2 linked regions of the Struthio camelus genome follow. The protein of the gene in region 2 purifies or fractionates together with the protein of the main gene of each other region. This does not show direct contact. Links are inferred from orthologs where the notes say so. Each region holds a gene or a part of one and is shown on either strand. Other genes may lie near its edges. The genes, in order: YIPF3 and organic cation/carnitine transporter 2.

Region 1 (15,325 bases), on a different chromosome or scaffold from region 2:
TTCTTCCCTCCTCAGGACAGGAACAGAGCGCATAGCCCTGGGGTTATAGGAGGAAGCAGAAAGATGGGGGGAGGGACAAACTGAGCTGGGAAATCCCAGCGAAGCGTGCAGGTGACAGAACTGCTCTACGCCAAGCAGCCCAGACCTGGGCAGGGGAAGAGCCTAATTCTGTCACTGAGGTGCTGCCCCACTCTGCTGCCCAAAACTGCAACCCAAAAGAAAAGTCCAGGAAAACAACATAAAACCAAGTCCTATTCCTGCTGCTCTGTCCTTTTCCTAGGAGACAGCAGGGATACTGCTCTATACAGCCCCGAAAGTAGTGAAGGAAGCAAGTCCAAGTTCATGAAACTACAGGGTCAATGCCATGGCTTTGGCTGTTGCGTTCAGTACAGCGTTGGAAACAACTGGAATGTCTCTAGCAACTCTCTGAAAGGGCGGCATGTTAGGTCCTTCCAACGTGTCCAGGATACCTGAAGAGAACAGAAAAAAAACAGGAGAGTGGCAAGAGTTAGTACCACGCTGATCCAGATGCACGTGACGTTTTTTTCTTGCTCTCTCTGGCCCGTGGCTGACCATGGCAGGGCCTAGGATGTGGGAAACGTGCAGGGAGAAGACATCTAGCCCCAAGGAATGGGCAGGCAGCCTTTGGCTTCAGATAAAGCAATAAACACTTCCATCCAGAGAGAGAGCAGCGTACAGATCAGAGCTTATCCCTGGGGCAGGGAAACTGTGTCCTCGAGGGAAGCACAGATCGTGTCACCTTGAGGGTGCCAAATCCAACCCTCTGCCGTCTGACCTGAATGCAGATACTGCTGGGGGATGCTGCTCTGCCAAAGCAGCCTGATAAAATCCTCTCCCCACCTCATCCCAGCACAGACCCCCAGCTCTCTCTTAGATCCACTGGTTGCTTCCCTCCTGAGATACACTTGCAGACTTACATCAGGAGCTGCAGATGGGGATGCAATATGGAATTTTATTGCTGCAATGTAAACAGGGACCAGGTTTGGAAGCAAACATATGTACTGATGGAAGTGTCCTCCAGACTTTATCAGTTACCCTCTCAAAACTGATAATCGGTCCTGGAGATTGTTTAAGAAAATTGCGTGGAGTATATTCTACCCTATGTCATTTGTTGAAGAGTCACAGATCAGGGCTCAGAACGCTGGCCATGAGAATGGATGCAGGCAAGAACTGTATTTACATCTAAAAGGACTTTTAATGCCATGCTATAATCTTAAATTATCGAGACTTACCTTCAATATCATGAACAGGACTGGTTGCCTAAACTCAAAAAAGGGACTACAGAATGGCACGTTTAGGGATCTGAAAACTCTAGTGATTGAAGACTGTGACTTTTTTTGGTTTGTTTTAAAGGGATAGTGACTTTTGTTAGGGGAAAACAAAAAAAGATGCAAAAAGGAGACCTGAATATGTATAGCTTGGTAAATAGCACAGACTGGGGGAGGTGGAGCTTCTGCTGCCTGTTTTGTACAACACAAGATAAAAAAAGGCATTACACCAATTTTAAGAAGGAAAAAGATTTTTCTTGCGATACATTGACTGTGGATTTTCTGACCAGAGAAAGCAACCTGATTTCAGCAAGATTCAGGAAGGGACTGGATATCTGCGTGAGTGGAACAGTCAGTGCTGTGACACTTCATTTATGGGGAAAATTAAACCTTCTGCCTCACAACTTCTGTCCTAAACCCTGAGACTCGGCACAAACAGATTACCCCATGTCTATCTGCTGCCCCATTTGGACAGCTTCCTCTAACACAGCTAGCGCTGGCCGCTCTTGGATAGGAAGTTGGCACATATCCCAGGTTGGATCCAACTGGCTGTATTTTTTCTGGGAGGGAACAAAAAGCAATTCCTCTTCCCCCAGATCTAACAGGCACTCCCTTCCTATCTCCCCTTCTTACCTTCTACTACCTTGTGATAAGCAAAGTGCAGGTAGAGGAGGAAAAGCATATGCAGAGCAGCAAGGGTCCCACACAAGATGAGCCGCTGAGTATGCCCCACGGTACGTGACACTAGCACAGCAACCTAGGAGAGAGGTGGAGATTACAGACAAGGTAGCTGCTACCTCAGCCTTTGGCGTTGCAGTCAGATGCACATAGGCAGATGGGCCAAGTGGTAAGAGCCAACAGAAACTACTCAGAGACTCTTTGGCAGTTTACACCACCAAATTCAAAGTAAACTGACTGTTTCATGTAGGTGAAGCTTGTCCAGCCTTGCCAAGAGTTCAGGATGCTCAGGCAGGACTCTGCACCACAGTAGGGGCTGTAAGGGAGCAGACCTCCTGCAGCCATTAGAATGCGTGAGGACATTAAGCCGAGTGTCACTTCCAGACACCAGCGGCCAAGCAACCCAGAAGTGTCAGGCTGTTGTTCTTAGCAGCCTTACTGGCTTTGATATGAACTGCCTGCCCCAAGAAACAGAAAGCAAATGACATTCTCCTCTTTTTTTTTTTTTTTTTGGTCCCCAAAGCAGGAGGGCTCCCAGCTGCCTGTCCCTTACCATTCGTAGTGTCGAGAGTCCACCAACACCCAGCCAGAAGATATAGAAGAGGGAGTGGAAGTGGATATTATAGGTAACAAAGAGGGTGATGCAGTGTCCAAAGAGGCCATAGCCCTGACAAAACAAAAATACACGTGTTATGAATGACAGTCCCACGTGAAGGGCTACTGGTCAAAACCATGAGTAGGCTACTCCTGCAGCGTTTCATGGAGGCAAAGCTTCACTAATCACTCACTCAACACCCAAGAGTCAATCAGCACACCAAACGTAAAAGCCAGTGTGCTGTGGGAGCAGCTCACATCCAGCTTCTCTGCCTGAAGGAGTCACAGGGATGATAGAAATCACAGCAACTTGGGAAACAGAGAAAAAATCAGCCTCTGTTTCCAGAGAAATTGGAATCTCCTGCTTTTTACCACCATGCTCTCAGATCAGGAAGTCCAAAGCAGATCTGCATGAAGCAACAGCCACTTTGTGCTGTCCTCGTACCTGGGATGGGGCAAGTCAGAAGAACAACTTGGAATTCCAGCCTATCCCCATGCAATAGGACTGCAGTCACCTGGGACCATTAATTGATAAGGAGACTTCCACGTCTCAGGGAAGACCCCCCCACACCACCCTTCTGCTGAAGCACCATGCAGCCAACCTGCATCTTAGCCCCATCCATACATACCAACAGTGACAGCATCTGCACCATCGTGATTTGGGCATTGCACAGATATGCCAGGAAATAGATGAAAGAGGAGACGCCCAACCAGTAACCGAAGCAGGTGCCAATGGCTGTGCCCATCAGTGTGCCTTCCCTCTGCAGAGACAGTGTCAGGGTGAGGAGAGCGCAAAGAACTGACCTGTCAGGACCCAAATTCCACCTCAGAGAGTTCCCAGAGCCTTTGCTAGGCATGACTGAATAGCCAGCCAGCAGCGTCCAGGATGCCACATGGCCTACTGCCCAGCCCTTCCAGCAACACAGCATCAAGATTTTCTGATGCTTGCTTCCTTCCTCCTACCCCCAAATTAACTCTTCCTCAAATCAGTCTGCTTTTCAGCAAGGTGCTGTTCAGTCACGGGAGAGGCTTCCTCTCCCTCTCTAGCCTCATTATGGCAATTCAGATCCCAGTGCAAACCCCAACCTATCGCTGAGACTCGCCGTACAATGATGGTGTCCGAAGTCTTCATCCCATGCAAGAGGATGGCCACCAGCGTGAAAACCAGCATGAGGGGCCCATAGAGCTCGCCTGCAATCTTCTACAGGAGGAGACAGACCAGGGAAGGCTTGGTTAGTGCTCCTGAAGGCCAGACTCCCCACCCCAAGCCATGTGAGAAGTGCCTTGGATGAATTTTGTCACTTAGCCACCTACTGATCTGAGAAGTAACAGTAAGGCCGCTGCTGACAGGAGCCAGGAAAAATAGGTCATGTGATTAAGAGTCAAAGTGGTGTTAAACAGGATGCCAAAACACGATAAGTGAAGTCTGGAGATCTAGAACTGTACCAGCATTAAGGGTAGCAGAAAGGGGTTTAGAAGCATCCTGGGAAAGAGCTTACCAGCATTTTCAGGCAGATGAACAACTAGCAAACTCAGGCCCTTACTAACACGGGCTAATCAAAATCTCCAAGGTGTCTGTGGGACATTCTCTTGAGCCATGGAGTTTGATTCAGCAAAAGGGAACTCACCTGTGGGAAATTAATCATCTTGACGGGAACCATGGACTCTAGCAGTCTGCATCACAGAAAAAACACAGAACGACATCAAAAGCAGGAAAAACAACCAGGTTAACGAGATGCCTCAGCAGTAAAAGATCCCATACCCCAGTCACCAGTATTTTCCTGTTGTGCCTCACAGGCCTTGGTAGACACAGATTCCTTCTGAAGAGTCACAAAAGGTAGCTAAAGAAAACAATCTTATTATCCACAGGCTAACTTTGCCAGGGGGATTTAATGAAAACATACACAGATCCATTCAGGGATGAGGGGACTGCTGCCAGAACAGCAATCCCTAATTTTCTGAGCCACTGAACTCCTTGACCTGAGGCTGGATGAAAAAACATATGTTGATGATATAAAGCCTTCTCCTTCATGACAGCGGGCTAGCCGAGCCTCCTCATGAGTTAGTCCTGGATAAAATCATGCTGTAAAAATATGTACAAACTGTACCCTAGTGCTGGCTCCTTAGGCCTTGGAAGGTTTTAGAAAAGTAATTCTTGCCTCATTCTCTCCAGTCAGGTAAGCTGCTCCCTGAGAAGACACAGAACTGCCTTTCTGAACACAACTGTGTTGCAGGTCCAACAGAAACCACGTGACGGGGCTGGGCAATAAAACGCTAAAGATGCCTCAAAGCCCTTGTTTCAGTCAGAGAAGCTCTGCTGGGCCACAAGTGACATAGCGGCCAGCCCGCCTAGGGAACCTCTTTAAGGACAAGGGGACAAAGCCTAGCGTGTTACCCTGCATCTGGGCACTGCGCAGGGCTGGCAGCCCCACCCGGAGTTGCTTGCCTTGGGGGCAGCCGCTCCCTGGTGAGGAGTCGCTGGTCCCCCCTGAATCCCCCGGGCACTCGCGGCGGAGGCGACGGCCGGGCCACGGCCTTGCCCACCTGGTGCGCACTTGGACAGGCTCCACGTCGAAGTAGGGCCGGAGGATGTCGATGTTGGCGTAGAGGCTGAAGGCCTTCGAGGCCTGCCTCTTCCCCACCTGCCACATCTGCGGAGAGAAGGCAGCGTGCAGCAGCCGGGCCGGGCCCCCGAGGCCGGGGGCGGCCGCGGGCCGGGCGGGGAGCCACGCTCACCTGGTCAGCGACCTGCCGGCCGAGCTGCCCCCGCAGCCCCTTCATGCCCAGGAACTCCCCGTCCTCCTCCTCGGCGGCCGCCGCCTCGCCCTCCGCCTCCTCCTCCTCCTCCTTCATGCGCTGGTGCATCTCCCCCATGTCCTCGAAGCTGGAGCCCGACGTGTCGTCCATGTTCTCCATGTCGATCACGGCGGAGCCGCCGCCCTGCGCGGGGGGCAGAGGCGTCAGTGCCCGCCCGGGCCCCGCTCGGCCTCGGCCTCGCCCCCCGCCCGGCCCGGCCCGGCCCGGCCCGGCCCCACCTGCATGTTGTCCTCGAAGCCGCCCCACTCCGCCGCGCCGCTCCTGCCGCCGCCCGGCGCCGCCGCCCCCGGCGCGGACATCGTGGCCGGGGCCGCCCCGCGCCGCGCTCGCTGCTGGCGGCTCCGCGGGCCCAGCGGGGCTCGCAGGACCCGGATGTGACAGGCTTTCCCCCCTCCCCCCCCAGCACCGGCGGACGTGGAGGCTCCGCCCGCGCTCTCGCGAGATCGCGCTCTCGCCGGCCGGCCGGCAGTGCCGCCATCTTGGGAGTGGCAGAGGAAAGTGGAAGGGGGCAGCAGAGAGGAGCTGAGTAGACGGTGAGGGAGCCTCGCAGAGCATACGGGGGCGTGGGCTGCGCTGTCGCAGCGCCCCCAGGCCGGCCTGCGGCGAGGGAGGGTTGAACGCCCCGCGGCTGAGGCGCCACACCTAGGCGGAGCCAAGTCCTCCCGCCCGGCCGCCGGGGGTGGGGCGGCCCGTCACGTGGCAGAGGGAGTCTAACCCCTCCCTCCCCAGTCCGTCCGGCCGCGCACGCGCTCTGGTAGCGGCGGCGGCGGCAATGGCGGCCAAGCGGGGCACGGAGGAGATGCGGGAGCGCGTGGTGCTGGGCGAGTTCGGGGTCCGCAACGTGAGTTGGGGCGGCGCGGGGCTGCCGGGTGCCCGCCTCGCTCCCGGCGCCGCCGCCGCCCTCACGGGCTCTCTGCCTATCTCCCTCTTCGCAGGTCCACACCACGGACTTCCCCGGCAATTACCCCGGCTACGACGATGCCTGGGATCAGCTGCGCTTCGAGGAGGTGGGCGCTGCCGGCAGGCCGGGGCGGCCGTTGGGCGGCCGTTGGGACGGGGCGGGCTCCGCGGCGGCCGTTGGGGAGGGGGCGCGCGGGGCGGGGAGGGGAGGAACGTTACAGGCTCCGGGCGGTGCGGGCGCGCGCGCGGCGGCGGTTGGTGGAGGCGGGCCCGTGGGGTGACGCGGCGCGTGGCCCGTGCAGGGGTTCCGCGTGGACGTGGTCCGCGAGGAGGACGACGCGCTGGAGTTCGACATGGTGGGCATCGACGCGGCCATCGCCAACGCCTTCCGCCGCATCCTGCTGGCTGAGGTACCGCCGCGGGGAGGGCAAGGCTTGGCGGTGCTCCCCGGCCGGGTTCCCCCCCCCCCCCCAACTCGGGTGGGCCTCGGGGCTGTTAGCATCTTCGTACCACCGGTGGCCCTTGTGGCCCGCCGGTGGGAGCCTGCTGCAGCATCAGTGTTTCTGCAGCAGGGCATGGGGGACAGGGCCCTGCACAGAGCTGCCTGGAAGCAGGCCCTAGCTGCAGAGCAGTCTGTGCGATGGGAGAGGGCGTGTATGTGTATGTCCTGTGGTATCTCAGTCCATCTATACGTATTTTAGAAGAGAAGCAAAAATCCGTTCTGTATGTCAAGGACCTAGAGAGAGTTAGAGCCTTAGTGGCATGAGCAATAGCAATTGTAACCCTTAAGGATGCTGAGGTAGGTTGGTAGGTTGTTGTGGATGTTGGTAGGTTCTGTGGATTGGTCTGCCCTTTACCTCTCTTACTTTTTTTTTTTTTTTTTTTTTAATAAAAGAAGTAAGCTACCGGGATAGAGGGAGAACTCATTCATGTTTGTATTGGGTAGCGCAATTTGATAGAAACACCAGTGAGAAGAGTGTGCGAGCAATTATTTATGGGAGAGAAGAAGTAGTGAAAATAAGCACGTTTTAGTTAGACACTGTTTTGGTGTGTAGTTGGACCGTCACCTTATACTGACTTGATGCGTCCTCTTCTCCTTGAGGTGCCAACGATGGCTGTAGAGAAAGTCTTTGTGTACAACAACACGTCCATCGTGCAGGATGAGATTCTGGCTCATCGCTTGGGACTTATCCCTATCCGAGCTGACCCTCGACTCTTTGAGTACAGAAACCAAGGTGAGAGTCCTGAGTCTCCCTTCAATCAAACCGAAATACTGAAGGTTGCCCCCAAAGTAGGAAACCTGGGATCAGGTAAACTGAGCAGAAGCGTGATTCTGTAGACGCTCGTGCTATTCTCCCCTTTCCAGGAGATGAAGAAGGGACAGAAATTGATACGTTGCAGTTCCAGCTGAAAATAAAATGCAGCCGAAACTCTCAGGCAGCCAGGGAGTCCTCTGACCCCAATGAACTGTACTTCAATCACAAAGGTAAGGTCTTTCCGTGTCCTAAAAACAGATGCTGCTTTTTTTCTTGGGAGACAGGAATTGGTCCATTCTCTCAGTCCTGTGAACAGAGAGAGCTGATTCCCTTATTCTGCTAAACTTTTTACCAGCTCCAGTCCTGTAGCAGTCTGCTTTCTGAGGCAGCAGCTGGCTGATGCTTGTGGCTCCTCTTCACAGTGTACAGTAAACACATGACATGGGTGCCTTTGGGAAATCAGACAGACCTCTTCCCAGATGCTGACTTCCGACCTGTTCATGATGACATCCTTATCGCACAGTTACGACCTGGCCAGGAAATAGATGTGCTTATGCACTGTGTCAAGGGTATAGGTAAGTCACTGGTCCTGAGGGTAGGGGGAGAAGGTGTGGGAGTGCTCGGACTATAGGGCATGGACGGATGTGTGGAGGGGAGAGGTGGAAGGCTGGCTTGCCTCTTTGAACTTTAGGCCCTAGCATCATTACCCTCTTGTTCTGTGAGACCTCTCCTCACCCTTATCTCTTTGTGCAGGTAAAGATCATGCCAAGTTTTCTCCTGTGGCCACAGCTAGTTATCGACTGCTTCCGGACATTACTCTCCTGCAGCCTATTGAGAATGAGGCGGCTGAGTTGTTGCAGAAGTGCTTTTCCCCTGGAGTCATTGAGATCCAGACCATCAAGGGTACTTTATTCACTGCTCTAACGTGTCATGTCCTTATGAGTCTTAGCAAAGAGTTATTGCAGACTAGAGCCAAACCTTGTGGAGACGAAACCACATTGTGATGTTGTCTTGCTGATCAGCAACTGTTTGTGCTGTTCTCAGCCTGGTTTTATGGATGAGTGGCTGTTGCACGCGTATGTGTTTGCTGGTGAACTGAGATCTCCCTGAAATGCTAAGGTATTGTGTGTCTGTCTGTAGAGCCCTGTGGCTGCTTACTGCAGCTTCCAAATACTGCTCAACTGTGTGTCAGACTGGGTAGTGAGCTTGGTCTTTCCAGCAGTTGAATGTGGGGATGACGTGTATCCTGCCCAGGGGTATGTATAAGCTTTGTGTTTAGATTGGAACTGCTCATTTCTATCAGGTTAGAATTTTGTGTTGGAGGTGTGCTAATTCTTTATACTTTGTGGCTTCACTGCCTTTGCTGGTGGGCGAGTGCTTGTCTGGGGTGCCTTTTGGTCATGGGAAGTGCTTGTCCCTGTTTGCTGCCGGTGCCCATCTTGTTTCGTCTTTTTCCCTTTAGGAAAAAAAGTGGCAAGAGTAGCAAATGCACGACTGGACACGTTCAGCAGGGAGGTTTTCCGTCATGAGGGTCTGAAAAACCTTGTGCGCCTGGCAAGAGTGCGAAATCATTACATCTGTAAGTGACCCATTTTCCTCAGAGCAGAGAGCCTTTCTCTGCTGTGTGTGCAGCATGAGCAGAGGCTTGGCTAGTATTGCTATCTCTCGTCTCTGTCCTCCTTCCCCTTCCCCCTCACCAGTCATTAGCCTTGGTACGCTTGTATGCTCATGGGTGACTACTGAGATTGTGGTTTGGCGCTGTTTCGGGACTGAAGGTGTTTGTGCTTCTTGCTGGCTAATGTTGTAAACCTCTCTTCTGGCTGTGAAGGTTTAGCTTGACAGGAGTGCAATGTAAGTGAAAATTCGGGGGCAGAAAGGCTGGAGCCAGGTGTAGGCTGAAGCTGGATAGTGGCTGTGCTGACTTGTATCTCTGTGCAGTTTCAGTGGAGTCTACGGGTATCTTGCCTCCAGACGTGCTGGTGAGTGAAGCCATCAAGATACTAATGGGAAAGTGCCAGCGCTTCCTGAATGAGTTGGACTCTGTGCCTATGGAGTGACCAGGCTGTAGCTGAGAAGCACATCCCTTCACTGCTGGTTTGGGGGTTTGCCTGCAGGGGTGGTTCTTCCTCTGTAGGCAGGAGGTCTGAGATGGGTTTGTTAGATTCCCAAGACCATCTCTTTGTGTTTGTTTTCTGTTTGTAATGAGCCTCATTGAGGAGATGCCCTAAAATAAAGGCTTTTCTTCACAGCCATGTGCCTCAGTGCTGTTAACAGTGGTAAGACCCTAATATACGGAGAAGAAAGTGCCAGCAGGCCTAAAGATGAGCAATAGGATTTATTTTGGATGGCATGCACTGTCTGAAGAGGACTGCTATGGCAGTGTAGTAAAGCACTTAGCAGCAGGTCGGTGAGATCTTAATGCAGTCCTGCCCTGGTACTTGCTAACAGAGGCTGTCTCAAGCCTTCTCAACAGAGGCTGTGGTAGTTAATTGATGTGGTAGATGAAAGGTTGCACTGTTACATAGTATTGGGTTTCTCTGTGTAGTAGCAAAGTGGGGCTTAAAAACATGCTCTGTAAGGACTACTAACTGTTCCCTGTTACATGTCTCAAGGTGAGGTGTTTCTTTCTTGATGTTAACCAGGCTTGGCTACTTTGTTCTCCCTTTCAGTGTCTGAACCTGAAGCTGAGTTAAGAGTTTCCTGGGGAACAGTGGCAGGTAGGGGGGAGCTAAAGGCCTGTCCCCACCAAGGGAAGCCTGGGAGAACTTGCAAGCAAGTCTCTGTGGTGAGCACTCTGTTAGTCAGCACTAGGTAATTCTTGCTTGTGAATGACTCTATTGTTAGGCTTAACAAATGAACTAGAACTCCAAAGAGTGGCTATGAGTACTGGTCTGTTTCAGTGACTTCAGTTAACGCTTATTAAACTGCTAGAACTGTGTGTAGCAAATCGTACGTCACCTGTTCCACTGGGGTATAGTTAGCTGTACGTTTACAGGACAAGTATTAGGCTGGATGTGCTGTAGAAAACGTGTGCGTTCAGGACAAAGTCAGTAAAGTGGGATCGAAACAGTGGTGACGTTCTGGCCAAAATCCCAGGCCTGTTCCATTTTATCATACTGTGTTGCAGACCCATGCTCTGCTCACAGATTTTTTTTTTTCTTTTTTTTAAGACTGCTGGTAACTAGTTGCTGGGAAACTGGCTGCTTCCTTGTCAAGGCTGTTCTGGGGGGAGGGGTTGCAGTTGGTGTTTCACAGATGTGCTTCCTGGTTTTTGTACCTCTGCCTCTTTCAGCTGTCTTGCAGGAGCCTTTGCTGTAGAACTTACCCTGCACGATCTATTTATTCTGCTTAGAACTGGAAGGGAGTTTTGGGAATCAAAGAGCTAGGCCTGTGTTTTGTAGCTTGTACCTCCTGGTTTAGAGCTCCTAACAGCCACAGCCAAGGTGTCTGCCTAGTGCTTTTGCTTGCTGAAAACTGAGACAGCCCAGCTGTACAGTACCAGTCTCGCATGTATGAGTCGTAGTGCTAGCCTAGGCATACAAAACTTCCTTTAGATCAGGACTGTGGTTAGTTCTTAATCAACTTCACTCAGGTTCTACCGCTCCTTTTCAAAAGTAGTAATTTATAGCTGGATTGTTTCAGTTTAAACAAGCTGAAGCAGCTTCCCAGTTGAGCTGGATTACAGGTAGGACCTCAAAAACGGTTTTGTAATGGGGCCCAATAGGGAAGTTGTCAGGCTTACCTCTCACAGGGCTTCTGCTCTAGTTTGGAGGACTTTCTTGCAAGCCTCAGGACAAAACGAATCATCTTCTAGGGTTACTGAAATGATAAGCTGAGAGTATTAAGACTGAATAGCTCAACTACAGCGCTGTTGCTAGCCACTGTTCCTCCCAGCAATAGCTAAGGTGGCGCTTGGAGGCTGCATTAGCAGCATATGCAGCTGTCTATTGCTGGGGGCTTGGAAATATCCCAAAATAACCAAAGAAAGCCCTAAAGACCTTTAATTATATTGACTTTGTTTGAGACACATTGATGGAGTTTAGGAAAGAATGTGCTGCTGTTGACTGGTTCCTAGCATGTGTGGGAAGAAGTCTCTCATGCTGGAGGAGTTTAGGAAGCTTCCAACCAGAAAGAACAAAATTCTGTGAAAACATCAGCTGCTTCAAACAGGAAACAAAACTTGGGACAATTCCAGGCCCACTGCTTGAGAAACAGTGATGCAGTAACGGACTAAAGAAGCATCCTTGAGGCTAAGCTAACCTCTTTGCCCTACTTCCATAAGCCTAGCTACAGTGGAAGGAAGGGAGGAGAAAGAAATTGCTTCAGTACATCCCAAACTGTGTTCCCAAGAGACAGTATGTCAGTCTAATCATTGACTTCTTGTGCTGTCCTTAACCCCTGTGAAGGATGCTGCCAGCTCCTACTCTGATTGTCACAAGCAAGGTACCTTAAACCTTTCTATTAAGGTGTCCTTACAGGCCCCTGCATCCATTTTAAGGTAATAATACTACAGCTTGCACTTCTTTGTGTTTTCAAGGCATGCTTTGTTTTCTGTAGCCATGTCAAAGCAATTGTCTTTGTAAACATGTACCCTTCAAGCTTTGAACCCAGCAGCTGTGGTAGAATTAAGATAAAGCAGCTCTGACTGATCAGCTGATACTTTTAAATGCCTCTTTCTCCTTGCCTTCTAATTTAATTAGCTAGCCTGGGACAGTGCATCCCCATCCTGATTACTGACATGTGACAATGCCCAATTTACACGGACTACCAGCAAAGGTGTCTCCCTTTTTGCAGATGGGATAAGACGTGCTGAATGACTCTTAGGAAGGCCCACTAGGGGGCAAAGCAGAGGCTTCAGCTGTTGGTGAAGGAGGTAAAAGAATAAAATGAAATCACGACACCATGTGTATGAAACTGGAATAGCTTTACTGACATTCAGAGGTGTAACACAACCAGTTCAGAGACAGCTTCAGCTTTAAACAGTCCTACAAAAAAGGTTCTAAAAACCATTTAAAAAAACCCCTTGTGTTTAGCATGAAGTCACAGAATGTTAAAAATACCACAACACAATAAATACACCCAGCCTTTGCTTGAGCCAGGAACCATATGAGCTCAGGAGTTTAAAAAAAAAAAAAGTGAGGCCAGGAGGAAAGTGGAGGGTGCTGGTGGAACAGCAGCAGCAGAAGGCTGCACTGAGTCCCAAAGCTTGCTCTTCCTTTCAGCCCTCCCCCTCCCCCACCCTCTTCTAAACCAAGCTTTTCTGTCCAGTCCAACTTAGCAGAGACACCACCTTTGTCCCCCCTCATGATTTATTACTTTTTCTGTCTCCTGGATGGCAAAACAGCCAGCTTGTTCTGGACAGACTGTCCCAGCTCCTGTACCACTGTGCTAATGTTATAATAGACTGAACGAACCATTTATCCTGTAGAATAACCAGCTTTGCAGCCTGGAGTGGTTTGCTAGATTCCTACCTCCTCCAAAAACCCAGTTTCTGGACAGGCTTCCCTCCCCTGTAAACTGCATTATAAAACCCTACTACTTGCTGCCATGCCACATAATCCTCTGAGAGGTACCATACTGGGTAAAAACAGAGGCTACTGCCACCTCCACAGTGACACGGTGGGCTGATCCCTTTTGGTTTGCAGGTGCTTCAGCTATTGGTCCAGATTTTGTGTACCTGCACTGCCCTGTTCTAGTCTACAGAGCATGGTTACAAAAAAAAAAAAAAAAAAAAACTTCCTGTCCTGCTCCTGAGAGATGTCTGAGAAAGGCTGGCACAAAGCAAAAGCCTTCCATTTGGCTCTAGGTAGAACAAGACATATGCACATACATATATGATGACAGTGTCTGCCTCCTTTCAGAGAGGAGCTGCACCTTAAAAAGACTGAACTCAAGGGAGAGCCTAGAATACTGCAAGGCTTGCTGGCACACAGCCCTCAGGCCAGGGCTCTCAGAGTCCAGGAGGGAAAGAGATTCATCAGAAGACAAGTCCACTAGGGACAAGAGCCTGTGGGCATGACGGGAGTGTCTGATGTGTTCCCTGCAAAGCCTGGCTACTACCACCCAGAGTAAGATTAGGGCAGCCCCTTTTCAGATGGGGCACTCTTTTGCCTTTTGCATCACTCCTAAATGCCCAGGGATGAAGAGGTGGAGCTAGAGACACCCAAGGCTAGAGAATGACCAGGCTTTGCCAGTCTGTAGGCTCAGCTTCCACCCTGCAGAGAAGCAGAGGTCTAAAGCTGCTAATACTCAGAGGGGAGGGGAAGGAATCAAAAAAGCTTAACGGACTGGATCAAATGCCACCCCAGGCCCCATCCCCATGTAGGGAGAACAGGACAGGACCTGTAAGGGGCTTTATTCAGGTGAATGCTCGTGGAGATGACAGAGAGAACCTAATGTGCTTACTATGAGGAGAGACCAAATATAAGGTAGGGGAGGAGATGGCTGCAGTGTCCCAGGCTCAGGGCTCAAAGAGTGCAGTGAGGCCCTCTCCATCCTCATTCTCTAGCACGTCTGTCTCCAGTGATGGCTTCACCTTTTTGAAGAGAGATGGGAGGTTCCGGATATGAACCTCCTTGCGGAACTGCTCCCCAAGGGGCTTCTGCAGAGGACAGACAGGCAGGCTTTAGTCATTACTGCTTTCACAGGTCCACTCAGCCCAAGGGCAACCTACTTGCATTTCACAGTCCGGCCCCAGTTTCCGAGCAATCTCTAGACCCATTCTCCCTGCTTCGGTTTTGGGGAATCTCAGGCTTGGTCTTTCCACAGTGCCAGGGCATCGATGGTAACCACTAGTGCCGACTGCACCACACTCCCGGGACTCTAACTCAACACCTCAGACTCCAACCTCCCGAGCCTCACTAAAAGCCCTGCAACTATCGAGCAGCTTTGTTCAAACATGTGAACGTCCTGTCCCCAATAAGTATTGTTGTGCCAAAGTACCCACTGCCTCTCGGTGAGAAGTTGTTACTGGAGGTGCCGCTCAGTGTATGGCACCATCCCTACCCTAGCTCCAGGCTGAAAAGACCCAGTACAAATCCTGAGAACGTGTTGCAACAACCTCCTGGCTGGAAAGGGCCGTACTGGATAGAAGCAGGCAGGCTGGTTGCCCAGTCACTTCTGTGGGATACAGGTGTGAAAGGAAACAGGTTCATTTTGCTCTAGGATATCACCTACCCCAATGCAGCCTGTGATAAGGCGCTTGAAATGATCCTTCCGGCGCTTATCTGCCACCTTCTGCAGCGTTGGGTTGAGAAGTTTTGATTCAAACTGCTCCAAAGATTCCCTCTGGATGTCTGGGATCTGCTCCATCACTGCCTTCAGCTCAGCGTAGCGAGGGCGCTGCGGGGAGAAGGACGGTCAACACAGCTCTGCTAAAGGAGCCATCCTGCCCTCCTTGGGGGGCCATTAGCTCCTCTGCTTCTCTCACCCAAGCTGGCACAGGATTAGTTTTCCACTACTCCCCAGCCAACCTGGCATCCTGACAAAGAGCATCGTTCCTCACCAAGGCCTCGTAGATCTGGAAAGCCAAGTGGACAAGAGCTGCCATGCAGCCATCGTGCTGCCCGTGTGTCTGTAACCCCTTCAACACACTCGTGAAGAACCAAGACACAGCATCAGGGAGCAGGTTTCCTGGGAGCACCTGGGGAAGAGGCACTGTCAGCACAGAAGCAGCATACTGATACATGACTGCCTTTCTCCAGCAATTTACTCTTCCCAAGGAGAAGATGCCCAGGGATGAAGCAGCCATGCCTCTCACTGCATTCAGCACTTCCTCTCCCAATCATGCCA
Region 2 (15,448 bases):
CATGAAATGGCAGTTATTAAAGCCATAAAGAAAACCTAAGGTCATAAAACTCCACACATGCACAATGAAAACAAAAAGATTTTAAGGTCCATTACTGCAGTAACTCAGTGCTGAAGTCTTCAGCTTTTCAATGACTTACCAAAGAGCGCTACTGTATGGCTCCTGCCAGCGATGAGGCATCAGTCTTCTAAATTCCCCAACGAATCTGTCCCTGACCTGTACGTTGCCCAGAAAAATGGCACTGATGTACCACTGCTGAAGACCAGCATTATTAAGAGCAAGTATCCCTGGGTTACTTACTGATGGAGTTCTGCTGATGGTGGTGCTGCTCACTACGGGTCGGGACACAGTATATCATGATCAAGTGCTTGAGAACCATGTCCAATTTTCTTTTCTAGTGTCCTGCTGGATATCATAGCCTTTGCCCCAGTGAATAAGATAAGGTTAACCTCAGCAAGTTATCAGGGCTCCAAACGGGAGGAAAAAACACAATTCAGCTTTGCTTCTAACAGCAGTTACCATCAAGTTCCTAAACACTGACACCCAACACTTCAGACACGGCACAAGGTGTTCTCACTAAATCTTATTATGATTTTGCAGGAGGACATTTTCTGCTGCAGTTTAAACTTGTTTTCTTACTCAAACAGCTTATAGCTACTTTGACTGGGCTGTAACTATGTCCTGAACAGTTCACCAGGTTGGGGTGATGTCTTTGCCAGCAGCTTCACACCCAGCAGCAGTAATTGCCCACGTGCTGGGGCTGGGCTGCGCCATGAGAGGAGCCAAGCACTCCACAAAGGATCCAGGGCTGATAAATAAATTCAAAATCCCTTGCTATGTGGCAAGACTAGTTATAAAGCTGGGGAAGAAAAAAATCCAACCAAACAAAATCCCACCAAACCACTCCCTTAGCGCCCCCCCTCCCCCTTTTATTAGCTTCCAGGCTTTTATCAAAAAAGAAAAAAAAAAGGAACAAAAAGTATTACTGTATGTTTAGTCAGAATTACACTAAGCAGCGTAAGTAGAAGTTTAACTGTCAATCTGGCTAGACTGGTATTTCCTATATTCACTTGTCATATGCCTGTCCAATACTAAACTGAATGTTAATAAAACATCTTTAGCCACAAAGTTTCATTCAAACTGCAGTCACAATGAAACTCACACACCTCCAAGATGAAATATTTGAACTCTTTGAACTCAGCAAACTGGGCAATAACATCCAAAGCATAAAATAAAGATATTAAACTAAAACTGCAAGGGAAATTCAGGCAGACACAACGCCACACATCCAGCTGAAGATATGGCCAGACTACAAGTAACAAGTTTGGTTCTTCTAAGTTCTCTAGGAACTTCAGAAGTCTCAAGAGACCAGGGCTACTATATTTTGTGCGTATAGGCTCTGCAGCCATTGCGCTTGCAGAATACCGCTTGCCTCAAAAGGAGAGCTGGCTCTTTATGAATTACCAACACTAAAGCCTGCAATGGCTCCCATCCAGACACTTATGCAGATCCCCTAGGCTGCTTAACTTCTACTGCAGTTTTGTCAACTTCAAAGAGAGCATAACAGAAACCAGCGAAAATCCAGCTGCTAACAACAAGAGTCTAATCATATTTCATCTTAAAATTGCACAAAAATTTGTAATGCATTACAACATCAAAAGTGCAAGTCTAATTAAAGATAAACTCTTCCAAAAGTCAAGTTCTTGCAATACAGTATCACAGCAAACAAGAACTCCATCATCAGCTTATATGTTTGGAAAGTTACAAGAGAAACTGCAAGGCCAACAATATTATTTATGACCTTACATGAAACAAGCACTTTTCTCAGATCACAAAGAGCTGTTCCACTGCAAAAGCACTTGTACTTCCCTAATAGCATTACCAGAACCATAAACAAAGACGGACTGTGACAAAAATCAAATACTTCAAGAGGCTCACTCAGTTACAACCCAGTTATATTAGGAAGATTCTTCTGAATTTTACAGTTACGCTATTTTGTGCCCCTCCATCCTTTTTCTTTTTCATTTTTTAAACATTTCCTACTGTTGCAGAGAAGAGAAGGGAAGTGGGACACTGATGTACTAATATTTTCTTTTTAAAAATCAAAATATTGGCAAGAATTTGGGAATCTTATTCAATATACTGTACTCTCTCCTATCACTTGCTACTCTGTAAATAGAGGTAGGTTCTTCAACAGATCTAGCATTCTCACCACTCAGCACTTATGAACTTTGATTCAGAATCTGTTCTTATTTATATCCATGCAAATACGGTACTCACCACTTAATGAAGAGCTGTGAGTGTATTAAACATCTGTTTTTCTGAGACTACATCTATATGTATATCAAGCACTCAGAAGTTCTAGAAGATCTATGACAGCATATTAAGTTATCTGAAAATGTAAACAGATGTCTGTATCTGAAAAACATATATGGTATTTAATTTCTCCCCAGTAGCTGTTTTAAACTTTTTAGAGAGGAAAAACTTGCACAGACCACTGAGAAAAGTGCTAAACATTTTACATTTCCAACGAAACTTAACTTCCCCCCATAAAACACATTTTTGAGAGAAAAAGAAAACAAGGTACTGACATCAGAAACAGAACTATCAGAAGACCGTTCATTTAAAATTGAATGCAGCGTAACAGGAACATTATCCTATCATTACACAGTCCACGATATGTCAAAATGAGCATTGTTTCAGTTTTCTTTATATCAACTATAGACTATCGTTCTTTAAAAATACTGACCCTATTTGATGTTTTGAAGTCAGAAAGGTCTTTGGATTCAATTCACAAGGGTCCTGTATTATGCACTTAAAACTGCTGAGGTTTTCAAGATGTAACTTAAGTATTTCATTATGTCTGACAGCCATTCATGCTCATCTCATAAGCTGAAAATTGAACTTTTCTTTTTCTGACAAGAATAGCAATATAAAGATTTTGCAACTGGAACTCAGTTAAAAGTCATTCCATAGCTGTGTTAGCTGCTGGGACTGAAAAGCTGTCACTGCTAACTTTAACCAGAAAAATAAGCAGATCTTTCTGTGCCAAGAAAGAAGATGCATCGATTTTAAAAGATGATGAAACCGAATGGAAGTCCTGATGTGGCTTTTGGTCTACAAGGCCACCTGCACTAACATGAATGAAGAGCTCAGTGAGAGCTGAACCTGGATGACATAGCCTTGAGTTATACTTTGCTGCTGGCTCCGCTATTGGAAAAGCCTGTGGAAATTAAGATGCCTAACACGAGTCCAGGAGTTTTTTTGGTAAAGAGAAAAAAAGCTCCACCTTCTTTCTGTCTTCCAACAAAAGGTAAACTTCAAAACCCCTAGTGACACACCTGTACACAATACTCATTTGTGTCATTTCAGATGTTGCTGCTCCAGCCTCAACTTATTCTTTCCTGAAGCTCTGGCATAACTTACTATTCTTCAGGAACCAAGGTTTGACAGCACAGCAGGGCCACTGAACCCCCTGGTAAAAAGGAAATGGGAAACTCAGGGACCTCAAAAAGGCATGGCATCTTTCTCTCCCTGCACAGTCATGCAGGAGTCATAGTTCCAGCACTGCACCGGGCCTCAGGACAGCTCTGTAGTTCCAGTGATAAGCACCCTTCCTCTGCAAAAAACATCAGTAGCTGAAATCTGTTAAGAACAACCCTAAAGGCAGACTTGTAAGGCAAGTCTGCAATACAAAGAGATGCCTCTAATGAACTGATTTCAAACTGATAGCAATACAAGACATGTTCATCATCAACTTTTTAAAAATGTATACACAAAATTCTGTTTCTATTTATGTTCCAGTATGTAAGAATTACTCCCATATAGACTAAAGTGATTTGATCACTGTATCGTCTAAGAATATACCCAAGAACAGTAACCTCATTGCATCATTTTTCTAGTCCTCTATTTAACTTTACTGCTAAATTCTATTCCTAGTTACTCTGCAGAGCCCCAAAAGAGACACTGGGCGTTCACCGATGCGTCCGTGATAAGCGTAAACGAAGCTTTGCTTATTCCTCAACATACAGTATTTCAAAAAGTCAAAGATGAAAAAGGATTTTGTTACACACAAAGCAGTTAATTACTCCAGACTGATTAACAACATTCTCCTGCTCAGTCTGCAGAACTGAGAAAAGAAAATCTGTTTTTAACTGAGAGAGAACGTAATGTTATAAGCTTCCTCTTACCCCTGAAAAGCAGAAACATATACGAGGATCTTTCTCTAAAGTCATGAGAATCTCAAGTAAAAACCTTCCTTGGGGAAAAAAAAAACCCAAAACCCTTCCCCCTCCCAGTGTCAACAACAGAAATGTGGGACAAAGGTCCTCATGATTATTCAACAAGTTAGAGATAAGCAATTAAACTCAAGATTAGTGATTCATAAAAACAGCAGCACCAAGCCAAGAAATTAAACTAGTTTAACGTTGAAAACCTGAAAGTATGTGAAAGGCCACAGCTCTTGCAAAACTGGCTCAGAAACATTAATATAAAAGGAGGAAAAAAAACCCCACTGCCTCAATGCATGATGTCTTGGCAGCGAAACACGGCCTCCCGCAGGCACAAAGTATCTGCCAAACCATACAGACAGCACAGGAGATTTGCTGTAGATTTCTGGAAAAATGTTAGCAACTTTCATTTCTCATAGATCATAAAATTTCCGGAAGATAGTTGATAATTAAGATATGCAAATTTGCACTGAGTTAGAGCTCAGAAAGACAAACTGAAATTACATCTAAGCCAGGTCAATTGCTACACTTAGCCGCAAACTGGAAGGCCGACTGCTTTATATTGCCTGTAACAGCGCACCAGACTTTCACAATAGTGTATTTCAGTAATGACCAGAATCTAGAAATTCAGTTTTCTTCTTCAGGAACAGAGCAGCTTTTTAGAAACAGGTCAAGTAACACCGTCAGTCAGTTGTCAAAAATCACTCAGGCCTCAGCCACTGTCTAAGTTCAAAAGCAGTTTTCAGCAACTGAAGTTTCACCATACGCATGCTGGCCTGTGCGCTGGTATGCGCGTGGCTTCTCCCACGCGCTCCCTTCCTCACCCAGTCCTCTTCCCGAGGAGCGTTTCGGGACTCAGACCAGCTTACCTCCATCAGAGAGCAAGCACGGGAACATCCACCACTACCCGTTCTGCGGAGCAAGAAATAAAGGCCTTTGGGTGGCAAATTTAGCCACTGTTCTGCAAAACTCGTTCACAGACACAAACGGGCAATTCAGCTGTACAAACGGCTTATAAGCCTTTGCAAAAAGCTACGTTTTGAAATCCAAATATTCCTTGCGATCCATTTGCTTGTATCTTAAGTCAATCCAAGCCTGCAGAGCTTTCAGCTCAGACAAGAAGCATCATCAGCACAACTTCACCTTTGGTTTCCTTGACTGGAGAGGTGATTTGCTGAACACAGTTCAGCAGATGTGAATCCTGACATGCTCCTGGAAGGTAGGGCGGAGAAGCAAGCAAGGGGCAAGCATGACGCTGACACACAAAGTTCATGGCTCTTCTGGACACAGCATCAGAACAGGGCTCTCTTATCGCACCAGACTGCTGCGTCTCCTACAACTCCGATGACTCCTACCACTTTTTGTTTTTAAAGGAAACAAATAAACCCCTTTCATCTCATGAGCTCAAAGAGGCACCTTTGATCTAAGCAGCCAGCTGCACCCACTGTTCCCCTGTTGACCCTTTGTGCTCGCTACCTCACTTCTGAGGACATCAGATGAAACCAATTAAGCAGTTAATATACAAACGCTGCCCAACAACGGGGAAAAGTCACCGCATTTAGAAACCACTTTTGCAAGTGAAAATTAAGAGAAATTCATTACATTAGCTCTCAAATACGTTTGGCATGCCAGCTGCAGAAGCTAGGACGAGTCTAGGGCCAGGACTCCAGGCCGCTGAAAACCAGCATCAGAAACCAGTGCTGTGGCAGGCACAGAAGTTTCTTCGGCCCTGCTGTGAAGACACACACCAGTAAAAGCTCTCTGTAACTCTAAAAAAGACTCCTTTGGCTTCTTGTTATAGATCTCAAATGAGGGCGGCGGGGGGGGGGGGGGGATCACGATTTCTGGCAGGTTGCAGAGATTCTGCAGGGGGGAAGGGGGGGAAAAGGGGGGGATTTTTGCACCGTAACGATTGAGAGCGCGGCGAAACCCTCCCGGACGAGCCCCCCACAGCCGGGGGGGCCCCCCGGCTGCTCGCCCAGCGCCCTTCCCTCCCCCCGGACCCCCCCCCCCAACCTGCCGCAGCTCCGCGGTCAAAGTCCCCGAAGAGCCATTCTCTGCCGAAAGGGGACAGGGCAGGCCCGAGGCCGCGCCGATGGGCGCCTCGCTGCCGCCGCCTCCCCCCCTCCCCTTCCCCCTCTCCCCCGGGAGGGGGGGGGTCCCTTCCCGCACCTCGCTGACGATGGTGGAGCGGTAGACGTCGCGGCTGTACTCCCAGCCGTCCAGGCAGCGCTCCTGCTCCAGCGCCTCCAGGTCCACGTCGGAGCCCGGCCGCAGCCCCAGCGCCGAGAAGTTGGCGAGCGCGGCCAGGCGGTAGCGGCGGCAGCGGCTCGGCGCCGCCCGCCCGCCGCGCACCTCCAGCGGGATGCTGGCGTTGCGCCACTCGCCGCTCAGGTTGGCGCCGCCCGGCACCGCGCACCGGTGCTCGGGGGTGCCGGCCAGGAACACGATGGAGAGGCCGTTGAAGCCGTTGGGGATGATGCTGGCGCTGAGCAGGAAGAAGACGAGGCGCTGGAAGCGGCCCCACTCGCCCAGGAAGGCGGTGACCTCGTCGTAGTCGCGCATGGCGCGGCGGCTTCTGCTGCGGAGCTCCGGCCGCCGCTACCTGCGGCCCCGTCTGGCGCGGGCAGGGAGGAAGCGGCCGCCCCTAGGCCCGGCGCGGCCCGGCGTCCCGCTTGCCATGGGCCGGGCCTCGCTCGCGGCCCGGCGCCGAGGGGCGGGGCTTGCCGGCGGGGCCGCCCCTGCCGGCGCCGCGGTGATGGCCGCGGGGCGGGGCGGGGCATGCCGGCTCCCGGCATGCCCCGCCCCCTTCCCCCCCCTCCCTCCCCCCCTCCCCGGCCGCGGCCGGAGGCGGCGAGAGCCTGAGGGGAGCGCGCGGGCTCTGAGGGGGGCGGCGAGGGATGAAGGGGGCGGAGAGACCCTCGGGGGGGCGGTGAGGGATGAGGGGGGCGGAGAGACCCTCGGGGGGGCGGTGAGGGATGAGGGGGGGCAGTGAGGGATGAAGGGGGCGGTGAGACCCTCGGGGGGGCGGTGAGGGATGAAGGGGGCGGTGAGACCCTCGGGGGGGCGGTGAGACCCTCAGGGGGGCAGTGAGGGATGAAGGGGGCAGAGAGACCCTCGGGGGGGCGGCGAGGGATGAAGGGGGCGGTGAAACCCTCGGGGTTGGGGTGAGACCCTCAGGGGGGCAGTGAGGGATGAAGGGGGTGGTGAGACCATCAGGGGGGCAGTGAGGGATGAAGGGGACGGCGAGACCCTCGGCGGGGCGGTGAGGGATGAAGGGGGCGGCGAGACCCTCGGGGGGCGATGAGAGAGGAAGGGGGCGGTGAGACCCTCAGGGGGGCAGTGACGGATGTAGGGGGCGGCGAGACCCTCAGGGGGGCAGTGAGGGATGAAGGGGGTGGTGAGACCCTCAGGGGGGCAGTGACGGATGTAGGGGGCGGTGAGACCCTCAGGGGGGCAGTGAGGGATGAAGGGGGTGGTGAGACCATCAGGGGGGCAGTGAGGGATGAAGGGGGCAGCAAGACCCTCGGGGGGGGCGGTGAGGGATGAAGGGGGCAGCGAGACCCTCGGGGGGTGGTGAGACCCTCGGGGGGGGCAGTGAGGGATGAAGGGGGCAGCGAGACCCTCGGGGGGTGGTGAGACCCTCGGGGGGGGCGGCGAGGGATGAAGGGGGCAGCGAGACCCTCAGGGGGGCGGTGAGAGATGAAGGGGGTGGTGAGACCATCAGGGGGGCGGTGAGGGATGAAGGGGGCAGCGAGACCCTCAGGGGGGCCGTGAGACCCTCAGGGGAGCGTGGCACCGCGGAGGCCCCGAGCCTCTGGTCTATGGGCTGTTTTTTGCATATTTGTGAAAAACAGGAGAGACGGCAGCTCTGCCATGGGACAGCAGGGATCTGCATCAGGACACCGACTGCTGAATAATGGGGGCAGCTTGCTCACCGGGACGGCGCGAGCGGACAGAGGTAGGGGGTCCTGAAGAATGGGACCCTCCGGCCGCGGCGCCGCAACAGGGGGCCGTGAGGGGCTGCTCCCTGGGGACGCGTCCAACACCCACGCCCGAGACACCCACAAGGTAGCAGGGACACGGGTCACACTCATCGTCCCTTCAGGAGTTACGGAGATCGTGTCCAAGGGAAAGGATTCCCGATCTCCTTACTACCTTTAGATGCGTATTTTGTGAGTAAATCTCAAAGGTATAGTCTCGATTTGCAGATGGAGAGGCTGAATTGTGAAGCAGAGATGGAAGGGCGCGGTAGCTTTTAGAGCAGCACAGAGGGCCACGCTGGCCTTGCACCACACCGGTCCCCTTGAAACACTGGCCTGCGCCCACAGCATCACAGACACATGCTGAAGAAAATAGAAATCTATGAATGACTAACATGCTGTCTGTGTTTTGTCAATACTTTTCCTTGGAAGCATAGGCTGGGGCCAACAGAAAGGCTGTGCTCCTGTTTTCTGAGAGCTACGGAGACACGTTATCCCTCAAGAGTGCACAGCACTGGAGCTCCGGGGAAGAGTTGGCGTATATTAATAGACTCCTCAGCCCTTGCTTGGAGGCTGGTCAGAGCCTCAGACTTTTATTTACATCAAAAGCTAGGAGGCAGGAAGGCCTGCAGTGCTGGGATACTGGGGAGAGGCATTGCCTGGCCTCTCAAGAATACCTATCAGGTAGGAATGCTATTAAGGCTGCAGGAATTTCATCTTTACATAACACTTTTTATCTGCCTCTAGAATACTTTTTTTAACTTTGACTTTGTCATAAACTGACTTGCAAAAGTTCCCTTATTTTACGCGCCCAAAAAGTCAGGACATGCATTCTTAAAGAGGCAAGCAAGCACAAGTGTCTGATGGGGTGTTTGTGTAGCATCTGCGAATACCTTTGCTCACTGCCTGCCTGAGCAGGGCCTCGTGCCGGCTCCTGGCACGTGCTTCCCTAGCCTGGGCTGGTTCCCAGCTCTGCACGAGGAGCCAGGCCCGAGCACAGGCCCGGGCTGGCCCCGGCCTGCTGGCGTGTGCTGTGCCTGCTCGTGACTCCTTGGCAGAAGCAGTTCATGAAAACAGGCCTCAGAGCTCTGCTTATCACCCAGCAGGGTCAGAAACCAGAGTATTGAGATGTAAATCATATATTCAATTGACTGCAATACCCTTGGTTTGGCTACAAGTTACAAGCAAAGCAGCCTAAAGGGTTCATTGGTAAGGCTGTGGTTTGGGTAGTTACGCCTGTAAGTCAGGAGCCTCGACTAATTGTTTTGTTCTCAGCACCATCAAGGGAAGGAAGTTTTCTGCAAGTCCAAACGTAAACTAGTTCCTTACCTTGTCCCTGTCTGCAACAACCACCTATTTCTAGAACGCCCATCGTCTGTTAAGCAGTATTGCCTGTAGGTCTAAAAGGGATTTGCTATTAAGGACATGCAGTTTTTCATTTGGGGAGTATTCTTTGAGGCAACGTGTACTGTGTGTTTGACAATTAATAAATGTAAGGAAGTCTTCTATTCTTAGGCCAAAACCAATGAGTCATTACCTAGCAGTGCTGTCAAGAAGGCAGGAAGATCACATCTTCCATAAAGAGGTCTGTTACAAAGCTGTATGATCCCTAAGTGCAAAAACTGACCTTATTCTGCAGAGGTAGTTCAAGTTTCAGATTGCCCTTTTTTGTCTATTTTTCTCCACCTCCAATTGACGGAAGCCAGATGCATACATCTTACACTAATTTTGAGTGCTTCTTTTTAAAAAGAGCTTTCTTTCCATGTTGGAATCATTGTGCTGTGAAACTCTCCAGTTGTTCACGATGGAAAATATGATTTTCTGACAGATTTTGCTTAAAAACGTCCTTTCTTTAAGTGTTCAATTCCATAGGTCCCGTAACCAAAGGGATCACCAAGGTTCAAAATAAAAGGATATAAAGCTTCTGGTTTAATTTCATTTTGCGTTGTCTATCTTATTATTTAATAGGCTTTAGTATATTTGGAAAATTAACTTTTCATGTGGACAGAATACAAGTAAAAGTTATAGGCTGTATAAGCCCAGTTTGGCTGTTATCACAGAATGTTAGGACAAAACAGGAAATGAGATGACCAGAAAATATAGATGACAGGAATCACAAAAAGGAAACAAGCCCAGGAGATAAGACCCGTTCTAAACAAACAAAAAACCCTCTGACCATAAGCAACCCATATGTCCAAAATATAAATATCCATTTGCCTTACAAAAGCTAGGAAATGTGTATTAATGGTAAAGGATACTGGCTTACATTATATAATGAACCACTTTTTGATTATTTCCTCTCTCATTCTCCATCTAGTAAAAAAAATCAGTTTGCTGCCATTTATAAATTGTTTTATGTCATTACAGTATAGAGAATTTCTTTATAATTTTGAGGATTTTTAAAAAAATCTACTGTTGTGAAGACCTGATTTCTGTGGCACGGAAATCTTGGACTCTTGGTATATACTGGGTTCTTAGATCTTGTTCAGGGAGGTCATTGACTTACAGGAAGCTTACTGATGGATAATAATTGGGAAAAGATTTTCTGCTTAATTTCAACATATTTAATCTCCAAGTTTGAAAAGTATGGCAGAATTATCTGGACTGCCTTTCTAGTAGAGGTCCTTTCAAATGCTGGAGAAGATGCTGCTTAGGCTTTAGTCTTTGTGGTTTGTTGCATCACAATTAAAAACTACACTATTGCTTGTTGCTAATAAATTTTAACTTCTTTTTGATTTTAGGACAAGTATAAAGTATAAGCTGACATGGTCACCATATCAGAAATAGAATTCCCACAAAAATTTATGCAAGTTATATTTGTGTCCTGACAATAATTTTTAAACAATTAATAATGATAAAATAACCTCTTCCTTCATGTTTAAATAGAAAAACAATTACACTTACTATTACATATTTTTTCCTTCTGGATGTTTTCAGTATGCTTGGTTACTGTGAGAAATGAACAAAGTAAAAGTTCAGTCTCAAAATTATAGCTGAGCATTTCTTTAAAGGATATATATTTGACCTGCAAATGCATGTAGTGGAATTCTGTGGAGACCCATCAACCTGAAAGGTTACTACTTCAGTTACTTTGTAGGATCAGGAAATTAGGATTTAACCATCTGAAAAAGCTGAGATTTTAGGCTGGAAGAACTGGCCTACACTAGTATTTCCTACCAGAATAGTTTTCTTGTGTAGAAGAGCTTATTTTAAAAGGAGGAGGTTCCGTACTTAATCCATGCTAAATAAATTTTAAATTACTTCTTTAAACTTCCTTGCACAAGGCAGACTTCTTTCTTCACTTATAAGCCACACAGAAGGTAGGTTATACAATACCAGTGCACACTTTATTACAATAAAGACACAAGTTAACAAGTGACAACGGCTACGTTATTTTATGTATGTTTTAACAGATCCAGTAAGTCAGCTTCAGATCTTACTGAGGGTAAAAGGTTACACAGATAGACTCTAGTAAACGTGACGGAGGTGACGTATGAGGAATAGTACAGCTCCCACTGAAAGCAATGGGAGCAATCCAGCCAGTCCTCCCCATCTTCAGCTCAGAGCTTTACACAAGTATCCCAGCTGCTCATAAACACACAGGTCCCATACTGAGCCCCACTGAGTATTTGGCATACAGACAACTCTCTGAAGATTGCAGTGAAAGGCTTAGATAGTTCACTAGCAATACATTTAATTTTTGGCAACAGCTATTAATCCAATACTATTTACTTCAGCTTTACAGTTAAAAAAAAAAAAAGTAACGTGCCAGAAACTGGCATTCCTGCCGTCCAGCTTCATTGCTCTTTGAATCTTCCACAGCCTATTGCTCTTTGAGTTTCTTCAGGAATCACTGTTCAAGATTGGGAAAGATTTACTGGCAAAGGACAGAAATTTTCCTAGCAAATGCTTCATCAGCTGCAGCAATCTCCCGTTCTCTTTTGTACTAAGCTCAGACACAATTTAAAGTCCTCATAACAACATCACATTCTTCTGAGAACTGCGTGCCACTCTCGTTAAAGATTTTTTTTAATTTGCCATTAAAAGTATTAAAATTTTGGCACTAGCTTTAGATAATAGTATAAGCAAGAAAAATGAGGCTAATTAAAACAAAGCATCAAAAAACCCACAACCCTTTCTCTTAGTTAAATAAGGAATACTAGGTTTTAAGACACTACAAAGTTCAAGAATATAAAAATATTTGCCTTTTAGAAATATCTGAGTCTATGATCACATAAAACAAGTATCAACTTAATATAAAAATCTTAATAAAAATATAGCCATCTGTATTTCATCAAGTCCTCACAACTGTCTCACACCAATAAAAAGGTTTTGTTGAGAAATCTAGTTAAGTCTAAACAGTTATTCTATAGATTTTTTATATAATAAGTAAAAACAAAATTAAATGTTGTTGTCATTAGAGAAATTCCGGCTTGAGAAGAGATGAGGCAATGTTAGAGATCACAGGATAATGTTGCCTCATTACATGTTACATTACATTTATGGCAAAAGCAGGACCACAGAAAATTAATATGAAAAGAAATAGTATTTCCATGTCCCAAACTGCAGCTTGAAATAATTGTACAAGTTACTTGCATTTAAATGTTATAAAGCTTTATATTTGTGCTTGAACTTACAGGGAGCTACTCCTTCCTCTGCCAAGGGCCAGCAGCAGACAAATTGCCACGAACTCTCATATTAAAGGTGAAACAGCGTGCTTCTGCTGGCCGTTACAGAAGGTAAATCATGGCTAATTGTTACTTAGAGGCTAAAATCAGTCTGCCAGGTCTGATAGACTTTATGTGACCAAAAAGTCTATGTGCAGCCAATAATAAAGTAAGAAGTAGTAGACTTTTTTCAAACTATGTAGTGTTTATAAAACAGCAGTAGCACAACTCTAAACTCTACTACATTTGACTTTTCATCTAATACTGCTTCACTGAACAAAATGCATACATAATCTGTAGGACTTGAAAAACAGAACATTGGCTTTGTTGGTGTTTGTTTTGAAATAACTGTGTGGTCCCAAATTAGCCCTTTCGTGTTTTTAGCAGCTGTAGGTGAACAATTCCCATACAGAACATTAGATTTTTTTGAGCATCAAATCGCCTTTAAATCCGCAAATGGTGCAAAGATTTTTGTAGGTGCTTTCAAAACTGGAATGAGTTTCCTCTGAAGGTACAGTACAACATGGCATATATTCAAGGAGAAATGAAATAATTTGAGGAAAAAAAAATTCAAGATAAAAAAAACTGCTTATGCCAATATACCGTGAACATCTGGTATCTAAAACTGCACATTATGTTTGAAAAAAATCATTTATTTGCTGGAGCCTGTGTTTCTTTTGAATGTGGAAATTGCCCCTCAGAAGTAGGTCAGAAACTATACTCCTTATTAAAGACTTCTTCCCCGCAAAGATGCTGATCCATGAAGCCCAGTGATTTCAGTGGGCTCAGGCGTTGTGAAAAAGCATCAGATTTTACAGGGAGAAGTAGATCAGAACTGGATCCCAGGTCCTGGGAAAAGTAAGGAACATCAAAATATACTTGTTCCCATGTCTTGTTTAAAAAAACCAATAAAGTCTATGTGTGCTTTCCTTCAACTAAATTCTGATTCCACTTAAAGTGTATTGGGATTTGGTACAGATTTCAAAGGAGGCTGGAATCTTTCCTTTAGAGATGTAGGCTGAGATTTTTCAAAGAAAGGTACCCAGCTCCTCCTCTTCCAGTCAATATTCACAGTGAGAGAAAACACCAGCGTTATGTTTTTTTTTTTTTTTGAACTTGGCCTTTCAATTTTTCTTTAAGCAACTTTAATTGAATACGTGACTGAGTGGAGTCACTGATGTATTATTCCTAATACTCATTTCTAGCCCTCTCTTCAAACACGCTTAGCACATGCAGATCCCAACTTGGACAGGGGCTGTATCTGTTGAAAAACTCCAGCTATCAGGACACCGAATTACAGACTAACAATCTTATGGGAGTAGACAGCATCTGTTCAGTAAACTATATATTTGGTACAGCAGCAAAAGGGGATAATAGGTTCACAACTATGTCGCAGTAGCATTGACTGTAGGTTTTTTGTTTGTTTTCCTCTGGTAGAAAATACATTTTGAGAAGACTTTGTTGTTCTTTCAGCCCTTCTGGGAGGGTACAGCCTTCTTCACAGTGGTGTTACCAGAATTTTAGCATTCGCTTTTGAATTCCTAACACCGGTGGTTTGTTGCCCGTTTCTGAAACTGAAAGTAAGAGATCGAGAAGCTACATAACATTTTACGGAATGAAACCAGACACTCCCCACTCCCAAATAGCACTGCTAAAATAATCCCATTACACAACTAATATAAAATGTAGGGGAAAAAAAAGTCAGTGCTCTGTAAAGCATGCCTTTCCGGACAGAACAAGCAACGCAGCAAACAACATTTGGAACTTGAATGTGAGTAATTCAGTGATTGAATCAATGTTACTTCATTCTGTTTGTGCGAGAAACCTATGAAGGGAATCTGGTTTGACTCTAGCCACAGTTCATCAACTGCACAGCTTAAAAGCCACAGGTCAGACATATGAGAAGTCCCTAACTGTGACAAGGAATAGCACGCCCTTCTCAAGGAACTTGACCTGAGAATTCTCATTCTGAAAACATAATGACAGTTCCTTATACAGACCAAGGATCAGGTATAGGTAATTCCAAGCTTCTTCAAGTTATTATTGCTTATAAGGGTAAATTTTGTTCACAGTACAAATTCTCAGTAACCTGGAAGGTAGCTAGGGAGTTGCACTTTGGCTAATTCAACTTCCCTCTGCTTCTGCCAAGAGTTTTCCTCCTACCATAGTAACTAGCAAATAGTGGCTGTCTCCACTGCACCAGCACTGTAAGGTATGCACACAGATTTCAGGTGGACATGTTTGCCCAGGGTAACTCAAAACAGCATCTGGTGGGGCAAGGGAACACTATCTTTGCTTATAGCTAAACCAAATGGACTGGGAGAAAAGCTGTTCCAGAGCGTCTCTACCCTCTCAAAATAAAAAGGCTGGGACATTGAAATCCTGTGTTTTTAGAGCAGGACCTAATGAATTCCTACTGAAAGGGTAAAATACTTTGTAATGTAAACAGTCCTACTGAAAGAATAGTTTTGCCATACATCAGAGTTAGGGGGTGTGATATATATGCATGCTCTAAGTAACTTTCTCCTCGAGGGACAAAAATTACTTGATGTAAAAGGGAAGATTTTGA

The links.
Region 1: the proteins of organic cation/carnitine transporter 2 (region 2) and YIPF3 purify together in Homo sapiens (co-immunoprecipitation; 3 studies listed by BioGRID and IntAct, counting the BioPlex papers as one, with this or other methods). This does not show direct contact. The link is inferred for Struthio camelus from reciprocal best matches to the Homo sapiens genes SLC22A5 and YIPF3.

The regions. Positions count from the first base shown.
Region 1 is NC_090944.1:103,661,256-103,676,580, forward strand, and holds the start of YIPF3 (protein YIPF3), read right to left. Parts: upstream 5,754-15,325; 5' UTR 5,678-5,753; coding exon 5,597-5,677; intron 5,502-5,596; coding exon 5,298-5,501; intron 5,213-5,297; coding exon 5,106-5,212; intron 4,236-5,105; coding exon 4,190-4,235; intron 3,763-4,189; coding exon 3,670-3,762; intron 3,323-3,669; coding exon 3,191-3,322; intron 2,635-3,190; coding exon 2,521-2,634; intron 2,047-2,520; coding exon 1,923-2,046; intron 471-1,922; coding exon 349-470; 3' UTR 1-348. Other genes in the region: POLR1C (DNA-directed RNA polymerases I and III subunit RPAC1), read left to right, coding at 6,151-6,219, 6,314-6,385, 6,581-6,688, 7,381-7,513, 7,645-7,764, 7,957-8,109, 8,288-8,437, 8,997-9,113 and 1 more; XPO5 (exportin-5), read right to left, coding at 13,995-14,135, 14,711-14,875, 15,039-15,176. UniProt on the Homo sapiens protein: Involved in the maintenance of the Golgi structure. May play a role in hematopoiesis.
Region 2 is NC_090954.1:2,518,863-2,534,310, forward strand, and holds the start of organic cation/carnitine transporter 2, read right to left. Parts: upstream 6,948-15,448; 5' UTR 6,795-6,947; coding exon 6,402-6,794; intron 1-6,401. Other genes in the region: SLC22A4 (solute carrier family 22 member 4), read right to left, coding at 14,378-14,453. UniProt on the Homo sapiens protein: Sodium-ion dependent, high affinity carnitine transporter. Involved in the active cellular uptake of carnitine. Transports one sodium ion with one molecule of carnitine.